Arabidopsis thaliana: one gene and its partner. The protein of the gene in region 1 interacts with the protein of each later gene in a biochemical or structural test. Each region holds a gene or a part of one and is shown in the gene's direction. Other genes may lie near its edges.

Region 1 (6,501 bases):
GCATTAGTTCATTATCGGCATGTGATGTCTTGGCTTAGACTCACTCTACTTTCATCTGCAGTTTCTGATGTTCTATGCATGCTCACTAGATCCTGAAAATTGTGGTGTGAGATTTGCCAGTAAGCTGTTGGACATATATCTCTCCAGCAACACATGTCGACTTACTAGGCGAGTTTAATCTTGTCCTTCTTGGTAAAGATTTCTCTGCATGATATGAAGCTAATATTGTTCTAATCACCACTTGTGTATTCTTTTGTTTTCTCTTTATACTTAACAGGATGAGTGCAGTGGCTTATCTAGCTAGCTATTTGTCTCGTGGAAAGTTTTTGCCTGCTTCTTTTGTGGCTAGCATGTTGAAAAGGTACGTATTGCTAAAAAATGGAAAATGTAATTGTTTGATCTGATTTAAGTCTCGCTTTGTTGTAACATAGTTTCTCTTTTGCTGAAATCCTAGATTGGTGGACGAGTGTGCGGAATATTGCGGAACATGCAATGATGATGTGAAGCCAGAAGCACATCAAGTGTTCTATTCTGGATGTCAGGTATAGTCCAAGTTTAAGACCATCTTATGGCTTTTGATTCCTTAAGAACTCTTCTGTGAAATCATTGACGTCTCTAGTTATCAATCATTGTTAATGTTCACACCCTTACCAGAAGCTTATTGGCGTTTGGGATCATATGCTATTATGTCATGTATCGCTTAAAGTTGTTACTTTTCTATGACTGTAGGCAATCTTGTATGTGCTATGCTTCCGAATGAGATCCATAGTGGAGATTCCTCGCTTTCAATCGCAGTTTAGATCATTGGAGTCAATTTTATCTCACAAACTAAACCCACTACTGGTGGGTGACTTACACTAATCATTTTCTTCTCATAGCTCAACTGTTATTTTAAGTAGTCTTCACTCCAAGTATCAAATGCATTATGCTTGCACCATTCATTTTGTGTGAACAGGTGTGTCTTCCATCTGTAGTTTCCGAGTTCCTTAAACAAGCCAAAGCTGGTGGTCTGTTCATTGTCTCAGAATCCTTCATTTTCGATGACCTACACGAGTCTGAGCTCTCTCGTGCTTTTGGTGGCTTTGAAAGGCTTGACACATTCTTCCCGTTTGACCCGTGCTTGTTGAAAATGTCTAGCAGGTTTGCTATCTTTACTCTTGATTATTTTTTCTCTTCCAAAGTAAGGACAAATCAATGTGAGAATCTTACACAAGGTTCTTGACTCACTGGATGAATTTACCCGACCTGGGCATATTTGATACAAATTCTACTGCATACATCTTAATTACAGTCTTGAAATGACATTGAAAATTATTTTAATATGATAAAACAAGTGATGAATCAAAGTATTTGCATTGGATAGGCTTGAACTCTCTTTCTCACACGTGTTTTCTTGTCAATTCTTGAAGCTACATCTCCCCGAACTTCAACTTCTGGTCAATGGTGAAAACGACTTATGGAGAAGATGGTGACGAAGAGCTTTGTGATGAGGTCATAGTGAATGGAGATGCAGACAGTGCGGAGGAACCTGACGATGACGTTGAACTTGATAGTGAGATGAACACGATGTCTACAACTCCGAAACACTCTTTCATGCGAGAAACAGAGAGGCTCTTGAAGATGCCTTCAAGAATCAGACCATCCACTAGTCCTCCTGAATCCTTCTTAATCTAATAGTCATAGAGAGAGGGAATGCAATTTTGCAATGTAGGTTTCTTATTACAATCTCTTAGCTAGTGCGTAAACTCTAAAAAAAAGAAGTTGACATGAGTTTTGTGCGAGTCTGTGGTATTATCTGATCGCATGTGGTTTTGTAGCAAAATTTTGAAGAACATCTATGAAGTAAAATTTAGTCAGTTGGTTTATGATTACCTAATTTGAGTTTCGGTTTAATTTGGTTAAGTTGAAATGCTGAATGATTGATTTCTCGGTTTAGTGTTCAATATTGGGTTTACTTTGTCCACAAAATTGGTTAAAAATAGCTCTTTGTATTTTGGTAAATGTCCCGCAAATGGTTAAAAGTAAACCGGGAATTGACCCTCCGATTTAAACCGGTCCGTAAACCAGCTGAGCAATCTCTCTTTAACCTCGGCGTCGGCGTCTTGTAGCTTCTTCTGCTAGGCTTTGTTAATCAGCAAAAACCCTAGAATATCTTAGAGCTTCGCTTCACTTTCAAGCTCGAGACTTTGAGAAAGATGCCTCCGAAAGCCAAAGCTAAAGATGCAGGTCCCGTAGAGAGGCCTATTCTTGGCCGTTTCTCTTCTCACCTCAAGATCGGAATTGTAATTTTTCTCTTCATCTCTCTTTTAGAATCCAAGTTGATTAATTTCGAATGGTGAATGGTAGATTTGCTCATCGCAATACTTTCCTCGATAAAAGTTTTTTTTTTTTTTCTTCTTCTGAGTTTTGCCGGGAGAGATCTATTAACTCATCAGTGATGCATGATGATATTGTTTGTTTCGTTGTGTTTGTCACTGTACTCTTTTAGATGTTTAATCCATATTTAAGAAACTGCTTCTTTGATACAGTGATTAAGGTTGATTGTTCATGGTTGATATGATGATATGGAGAAGTATTGATGTTATTCACTATGGGAATTGTTTGTGGCATCGCAGGTTGGGTTACCAAATGTTGGAAAATCTACTCTTTTCAACACTCTTACAAAGCTTTCAATTCCAGCTGAGAATTTCCCCTTTTGTACCATTGAGCCTAATGAGGCACGTGTGAATATCCCCGATGAGAGGTTCGATTGGCTTTGCCAAACTTACAAGCCTAAGAGTGAGGTAAGTTTGTAACTTTATTTCATGACTTGCTGTTAAGGAAGAGATTACTACTATCTGAATTACTTTATGAATGGGCTGACTTCTGTCTGTTTTGATGCCTCAGATTCCAGCTTTCTTGGAAATTCATGACATTGCTGGGCTTGTTAGAGGAGCTCATGAAGGACAGGGTCTTGGAAACAACTTCTTGTCCCATATTCGTGCAGTTGATGGAATTTTCCATGTTTTACGTATGGTTTTTCCCTCTCGCTTTTTCTCCTAGTGCCAGCTTTGTTTTAGTGTGATGCGTGATTTGATGAATAATTTAGACTGTACTGCTACTTGTGCTGTCTTGAATTTCTACTTGAGCAGGCTTTTCAATGAGAGACAGGTTAAAAACCTTTATATATTTTTCTTCCCATTTGATACCTATAGGGCCATTGCGATAGTTAGTTTATGTTTTCCTCTCCAAGCATATCTGTTCTTGAACAACGGGGATGTTTCTTTAATAGTTGCTGATAGTAAGATATCTTGCCAGTTATATAGTGGTTAGTGACTTTTCGATTGAACATATGCAGGTGCTTTTGAAGATGCTGATATTATCCATGTCGACGATATCGTGGATCCTGTTAGAGATTTGGAGACCATTACTGAAGAGTTGCGGCTAAAGGTGAATCAAATCTCTAAACAGATATTTGACTGCTATATCTCCAAACTCGTGAAATCCTTTCTGTGTATATTAATACAGTAGTCTGTTTTTTGTATTAGTTGGATCTTCATTTCATCCATTGTTGTTTTGGTTTCAAACTGAATTCTTTGGTGCAACTTTAGGATATTGAATTTGTTGGAAAGAAGATTGATGATGTCGAGAAGAGCATGAAGAGGAGCAATGACAAGCAGCTGAAAATAGAACTTGAGCTCTTGCAAAAGGTATGCTATAATTTGACAACCATGCAGTCTTGTTCTGCAAATGTTATTGCTCATTAATTATTAATTGGCCGAAAAAATGACTGTACCTCTCTGGTTTAGGTAAAAGCTTGGCTAGAAGATGGTAAGGATGTCCGTTTTGGGGACTGGAAAACAGCTGATATCGAGATTTTGAACACTTTCCAATTGCTTTCTGCAAAGCCCGTTGTTTACTTGGTGAGTAGTCTTGAATGTTCATCTCTTTCTGTTACCATTGTTTCTATCAAGATAAATGCATTTGCTTCTTTCATATCTATAGTCGACAATTTTGTTCCCTCAATTTTTTTCGGGTCAGTTTGCAAAATGTAGGTCATACTGTCTATTTTTGTGACACTATTTGCCCCCAAATTTAACCATAGTGTGTTCCTTAGCTATTTCTGATCTCTATGCTTTCATGTTTGTTTCAACTATGTGTTTCATCTCAGTGTAAGAACTATTAAGGCATCTTGGTTGGACTTTTTGTGATCACTGGTTACTCTGAAATTTAAATTACAGATTAACCTGAATGAGAGAGACTATCAGAGGAAGAAAAACAAGTTCTTGCCAAAGATTCATGCCTGGTACTAATATATATCCTTTCACAAACTATGTTGAATAATAAGTAAAACATTTTGCCCCTTGGTTGTTGCAAAAGTTTCTAATATGGCTACGTGCTTACACATTTACTTACCTTATTATACTTCTCCTAAACTAAAAATATCTGTTTCATCATTATGTAGGGTTCAAGAACACGGTGGTGATACTATGATTCCTTTCAGTGGTGTGTTTGAAAGGAGTCTCGCTGATATGGCCCCAGATGAAGCAGCAAAGTATTGTGAGGAGAACAAACTGCAAAGGTTAGGAATAAAAGAACAGCACCTTGCGAATGAATAGTTGCTCCTGAAGATGATTTTTCTTTATGAATCTGTTAAATTGAATCTTATGGCCATTGCTGCTTTGACAGTGCTCTTCCGAGGATCATCAAAACTGGATTTTCAGCAATTAACCTCATATACTTCTTTACAGCAGGGCCTGATGAGGTATTAACAGTCCCACTTTACTTGGCTTCACTACACGCTTTAGTCTCTAGTTCTCTGTGAAATTCTTCTAAGCATAATTGTTCTGTAATGAGCTATTTGGTAGTGCATGATCAGTGTTATGTGTCAAGTAGTGCATTGTTACTGGAATTTGATGGTTTATAAAATACATCCATCAATGATACTTTGATTTGCAGGTGAAGTGCTGGCAAATAAGACGGCAGTCAAAGGCTCCTCAAGCTGCAGGGGCCATTCATACTGATTTTGAGAGAGGATTTATTTGTGCTGAGGTACCATTTTCTCATTTCTCTTGAATCTTGGTCAATTCACTAGTTTATTCCTACCTAAAATTTACATGCGTAAAGCCTTTCCCCTCCAGATTTTGATGATTTGTTCTGTTATAGAGTTTATATAATCTTTCTTATGTTTTCACTGACAAAAACAAATGCTTGCTTGCATATTCTTATATTCATCTTGGTGTTGATTTCCTAGTATCGATGCAGGCCTGTAGATATCAAAGCAGAATCCTAATGCAAACCATATCTAATCAAATATTTTTCTGTTTTGAAATTCAATGTGATTTATTCCAATGTTGTTGTTGATGTCACAGGTCATGAAATTCGAGGATCTCAAGGAACTTGGCAATGAACCTGCAGTCAAGGTATTTGTCTATAACTTCTTTTCCTTCTACAATCTCTTAAGGTCTCGGTGGAGTAAGTAGCCTCTAAAAACAGACATGAAAATGTTAAGGAAGCTCTCCACTGTGCAAGATATCCTCGTTGAAGAGGCATGATTATATTTATAATGTTCATGGCGATGACACTTGGTCTAATTTATAATCCCTTCAACTAATGCAGGCCGCAGGAAAATACAGACAGGAGGGTAAAACATATGTTGTTCAGGATGGAGATATCATTTTCTTCAAGTTCAATGTTTCCGGTGGTGGGAAGAAATGAGATCCATCCGTCTGTCCACCTATCCGCGGTGTCCTCTCTGGATCTTGAAGCTCTATCCATTTCCGAGAAAGGAACCAAGCTGTATTTTCCGTTTTTGAGTGGCTTTACCAAACAAGTATTTGTAACTCTTTACATTTTGCAGTTAGCTAAGACATGTCTTTGCCTTTAGACAGAGCATTAAGCCTGCTGTATCGTTTAGAACTCTTTCAATAAGTTTTTCTCTACTATTTGGAAAGAACCTTGAGTAATTGTGCGTGAGAATGAGTTGAAGAAACCCAGCAAACAACTTCTGGTGCACTTATTAGCGAAGGAAACAAATGGAAAGAATGATTAAACGAATACCTTAAGGAAATTATATTTGCAGTGTATATTACAAGCTCTATTACAAAAGAGCTTCTGGATAGATCACAATCAATTATAACAAAAGAACAAAAGAATTATTTTGGGACTGGCCAATCCAATTGCTTCCTCTAAGCCGAATTGTGAAGAGCAGATCCTGTTTGGCTCTGCTCAGTTTCTGAGGAATCTTGATTGGAACAAGCTGGAAGAGTAAAGCTCTCTGGTGCTTCTTCTACCGCTTGGCTGCTCGAAAACGAGTTTTCTCCATTCTGTTTGCGAAGCCAAGCTTCATGAATCTGCAAAACATACTCCAAGCTCCATAACACTTCTCCCATCATTGGCCTGTTCTTCCCTTCATCCGCTAAGCACTTCTCTGCTATCTCCCCATACTTCTCCAACGATTCAGGACTGTAGTTTCCCCTCAGATTTGAGTCGATGATGGACTCGAGGTTTCTCTGTTTTTGC
Region 2 (4,858 bases), on another chromosome or scaffold:
TTATTCGCGTATGAAAATATACTTAACAGATTTTAAGGATATGAAAATACTTTTTACTTCATATGCATATGTATATACTTGTTTGAACTTTAAAGTCAATGGAGAAAATACACTAGAGGTTACAGGTGCTGCCGCTGCAATGCAACATGTCGTTTATATAGTAACTGATAGAAACTATCAACTAAAGTCTCATCACTAAATTTTCCTTAAAACTTATTACATTACTCACTACTACACAATGCATTAAAAATAACATATTTGAAAGTATATTGTGTATGCTAATTTTTGATGTGTACTTAAATCTCATTATTGGTATATAAGTAAAGAACTTTAAAAACTAAAGATAGGCAGTAAAACAAATCATACATAAAATTTACGTTGAAATTAGTTTGAATCAAATTTGCGATCTACAGTTTTCGTGTAAAACTAATCAAAGAAAAACGATTCAAAATAACCAATATATTTTGAAATGATGATTAAAACTTGGCGACAAATGAAATAAAAATAAACAATGGGAAAAAGTTTTGTGTTGTTGACCAATTAGAGACCAAAAGACTGGTTTTTGTAGTAAAAAGCAGATTACGTACAAAACAATTTAGCGGGTGGGTATATGGAATTTAGGTTCAGAATATTTTCTTCCTTTTAGGATTAGGGTTTGTCTTGCAATTTAGGATGTTATTGGACATCTGTTCAATTATGGATAGGTGGGAATAGGGTTTGAGTCTCACATATAAATCCTTGAATTTTCCACTACCATGTACATCTATATATGAAACTTCATAAAGTCCGATTTAACAAGTTTGCAGTATGGCGAGATCTGTTTTGGCATCTTAGAAACAAAGCTTAACACTAATACAAAAATAAATATTCGTCAAGAACAAGAGTAGATGACAAACAAGCTAAAGGAGGAGGAAAACAACTAAGATAACTAGCAAAAGATAGCATTTCATACTACAAGTATAAGGTAAAAATAATAAAGGCACAAAAATACCCGGAGAAGGCATTTCTTTTGGGTCTCTTCAGGTGTCTCACTCTTAAACTTCTTGATCATCTTCTCATTCTCAAAGGAGGTGTCGCTCTAGTCTTTACCTCATACATTCTTTTGTTCATTTTCTCTTTCTTATTTTTTTTTTTTTTTCAACTTTCGTTTAATGTGGAGATTTAATATGTAATTCTTATCTAAAAGATAATTAACTTTTTGCTTATGTTTTGCTTATTTTTAGTCTTTTTTTTTGTTAATATAGTTTCTTTGTTTTTGTTTATTTATTTTTAATAATTGTAGACAAAAATAATTATTAGGTTTTTAAATTAGTTTGATGTTTTTAAGCAATATAGTTGTTGGCGGCGGAGGAATACATGTACTGAAGATAAACACAGTTAAACCTTTTTAGTAACCGAACCGACCCATTTGGATTGAGATAAAATACAATCGAATAGTTTGAGTCTTAGATTGGGTTTGGTTTGGGTCGGTTTGAGTTCGGTTGGGTTGGGTCGGTTCGGTTAAAATGCCCACCCCTACTTTCCCATCATCCCCTTGACAAATTAATAACCAAATTAGTCATAATCCAATCTTTCAACATGAAAACCGGAATATGAGGGTCAAAGCGGACCCATTAAGAGAAAAGGTGGGTCAGTTGACACACCTTAAATCTACAAATAAAGTTTAATGCATGAAATTTGTTAAAGAGATAATAGCTAAGTTGGTTTATCATGTGTCATTGACACCCCCATTATCCAAGTTCAATCCTTCCCTATGTACTTTTTCGTAAAAAATTTCTTTTTATATATTAAACGAAAAAACTATTGACTCAGGTAAAAATCTTTCCTGGGTCCGCCGGTCAACGAGGAGGAAACACGACGGAATGAGAGAGAGAAGTTGGTGGCCTAATTTTTGTAGGAGAAAAAACACACAGAAAGAAAAGTAAAATGTTGACAAAATGGGGTTGGGAAATTGAGAATAAAAATTCAAAGAAGGCATGCATATTGCAATAATAATGTGCGATTTGTCAAACAAGTGGGGCTGTGAGAGAGAGCGCGTGGTCAGCACGAAGAAGAAGCAGGTACAGAGTTTTATCACCAGCTATCTATCTTTGGTTTGTTCTTAAATAATAATCAAACGCCATCTCTCTCTATTCTCTATCTATCTTCTCCACGTTACTACCACCTAACCTCTCATCCACCTTTTCTCCTTTAAGCATATTTCATTTCATCTCCGAAAGGAATTGTATCGTTCCTCACACACGCCTCTCATCTCTTATCCGTAAGTTTTGTTTCTCTTTTCTCTATTGATGTACCCTTTTGCCCATATTTGTGCTTGTGAACTCGCATTTGATCGTTTATGCTAGATCTGGTTTGGGTTTAGTCGTTTAGATGCTCGTCAAGCTCCCTTTGAATCACTAGTGCTCTTAGACTCTTATATTTACTGATTTGGAATTTTGTAATTCAAAAGTCCGAGTCTTTTGATGAACCCCCGTGCCGACCACACGATTGCTTTCAATTTGGGCTTCTTCTTAATTTTGGTGAACTATTGAGGATTTTTGCAAGTTTCTGTGTGAATCCTAGAGTAGAATGACTCAAAAATGATTTCTTTTGATTCAATTATATGCGATTGTTAATGTCTTTGAGGTTCTATGATCTGGAATTAGATTTTGGTATTATCTTAGTATATCAAAGCTTAGATGATGTTTCTTTAGCATGTAACTACTATTGTCCATATAAATTGCATAACTCATTTAACTTTCGAGCATTCTCTGCGTCTCGATTACTTATATGGTTCCTTTGTTTGTTTTTGTTCAGATTCTTGTCCTTTTTTCAGCTCAACAAGAATGGATAATTGTACTGGAGAAAATCCCATGGCTTCTCAGTTGAACATTCTCCGATGCCCGTTCTTGAGGAACATCAATGAGCCCACTAACCTCTCTTTCTCTTCATCCTTGCCTTTTCCCATCCCTGTAAGTAACCGTCTGTTGGTTCACTCCATATTGACATTTCTTATAGATTCTGATCTTGTCTCATCATATATATAGGCAAGAGCTGGGAAAGGACCTATATTTGAAGATGGTCCCAATTTTGATACGGCGTTTAGGCTTTTCCATGGCCAAGATGGAGTTGTCCCTCTCTCTGACACCGCTCGAACTGAAGCCCAGAAGCCTGTGCCTGTATTCCATCCACTTGCTGCTAAGGCGGCCACTATTAGTCTCTCATCCTTTGGATCTGGAGGGCCTTTTGGATTTGATGCATTTTCTGACATGTTTAAAAATCAAAAGAAGAAGTCAGATTCATCCAAAAATAAGGTAAAGGTTTTATGAGTTTCTTGCTCAACATTTATCTTTTAAAACTGATGTGCATAGGTAAAGAAATGTGTCTAAGGAAATAGTTAAGCTTCTAAGATTGCTTAAGTAGTATGCAATGTGTTGGCTTATGAGATAGAAAATCATGATATTTCTTTTCTCTTAGAGCACCGCTTAATTGTTGTTTCTCTTTCAGGGAGGAAACCACGAAGCCATGGGCGACGAATGGCTTAAAACAGGAAACTGCCCAATAGCAAAATCATATCGAGCTGTAAGTGGTGTGGCACCACTTGTGGCAAAGATCCTGCAACCCCCTCCAGGCATGAAATTTAAATGCCCTCAAGCAATAGTCACAGCTCGAGCAGCGATATCAAAAACACCTTTCGCCAAGAACCTCCGTCCACAACCTTTACCAGCTAAAGTACTAGTGATCGGGATGCTGGGCATGGCGTTAAATGTGCCTTTAGGGGTCTGGAGAGAGCACACTGAAAAGTTTTCGGCATCTTGGTTTATAGCTCTTCACGCAGCGGTTCCATTCATAGGAATACTGAGAAAGTCAGTGTTGATGCCTAAAACAGCTATGGTATTCACCATAGCAGCATCAGTTTTGGGACAGGTGATTGGGTCAAGAGCAGAGAGGCGGAGACTCAAGTCTGTAGCTGAGAAGAAGTTGACATTGGAGGTACCAAATCCGTCTTCTGTTGAAGCAGATCAGATGCAATTTGCCGGAGTTTCATCAGATGGAAGATGCGGTGATAAAGTGGTGATGAAGTGGAATCCCATGATGCTTGATGTTGCAAGCCCTGTGTCTTCCGGAGCAGCTACTGTTGTCTGCTAAAAGGATTTTGTAATTCTCTTCGAGGATTTATATATATAATTGTTTTTCTTGTATTTTTTTCGGCTGATTGTATTTAAAAAGTTTCTTAATGTTTGAGAAAAACAAGAATAAAGCCATTTTTTAAACTGTTAATTGTATTTTAATGTAAAAGACTTGTTTGATTGAATAAAAGGAAAGAGAAGTTGGAAATTTGGTGTTTATGCATCTCATAGGCAAGTTTTCAAATATGAACAATGTTAAATGAGTCGTTCAATAGTGCTTATGATATCGTGGTTGCAAAACATCAGTTATAGAGTGGTTGATGGTGTAGTGATTAAACATTGCATTTCGTGATCACTTGTTTGGGTCCACTCTTGCATCCTTGCTAAACCTACTCCAAAATTGGTAAACCTACTCTGAAGTTTGCAGAACTAGTCTAAAAGATTTTCTTAAAAGGCAGGCCACTAGATAGAAGAGAAATCACTTACAAGAGTTTCTTAAACTTTTCTTTTTAAAGATAAGTGATTATGGAACATTAAACTTAAGTTTACTCTCATAACCTCTATTATCATCAAATCTCCTTCTTAAATTTTTTTTTTTTTTTTTTGAAACAAATGGATTTTATTAAAAATACAAAAAAAATTGTATATTTGGATTACGTCAACTCTTACAATTTTGCTAGTCTCATAGAAAGATGTCATACAATGCTTGCATGTATTGCTTATAACAGTACGTGTGCTTTTGTTATTTC

Evidence for each region. Proteins that work in one complex are often made in the same cells at the same time.
Region 2: the proteins of AT1G30580 (region 1) and AT4G25030 form a complex in vitro, tested with the Arabidopsis thaliana proteins (one study listed by BioGRID).

The regions. Positions count from the first base shown.
Region 1 is NC_003070.9:10,831,149-10,837,649, reverse strand, and holds AT1G30580 (GTP binding protein), read left to right. Parts: upstream 1-2,014; 5' UTR 2,015-2,195; coding exon 2,196-2,282; intron 2,283-2,615; coding exon 2,616-2,783; intron 2,784-2,886; coding exon 2,887-3,010; intron 3,011-3,337; coding exon 3,338-3,429; intron 3,430-3,590; coding exon 3,591-3,689; intron 3,690-3,788; coding exon 3,789-3,902; intron 3,903-4,220; coding exon 4,221-4,285; intron 4,286-4,444; coding exon 4,445-4,561; intron 4,562-4,668; coding exon 4,669-4,744; intron 4,745-4,938; coding exon 4,939-5,031; intron 5,032-5,351; coding exon 5,352-5,402; intron 5,403-5,598; coding exon 5,599-5,697; 3' UTR 5,698-5,977; downstream 5,978-6,501. Other genes in the region: AT1G30590 (RNA polymerase I specific transcription initiation factor RRN3 protein), read left to right, coding at 62-168, 278-361, 455-542, 730-843, 956-1,140, 1,410-1,674; HERK2 (hercules receptor kinase 2), read right to left, coding at 6,168-6,501. UniProt on the Arabidopsis thaliana protein: Hydrolyzes ATP, and can also hydrolyze GTP with lower efficiency. Has lower affinity for GTP. Exhibits GTPase activity.
Region 2 is NC_003075.7:12,862,511-12,867,368, forward strand, and holds AT4G25030 (Serine/Threonine-kinase), read left to right. Parts: upstream 1-1,941; 5' UTR 1,942-2,260; exon of another isoform or gene 2,261-2,519; intron 2,520-2,796; 5' UTR 2,797-2,825; coding exon 2,826-2,951; intron 2,952-3,026; coding exon 3,027-3,293; intron 3,294-3,486; coding exon 3,487-4,128; 3' UTR 4,129-4,317; downstream 4,318-4,858.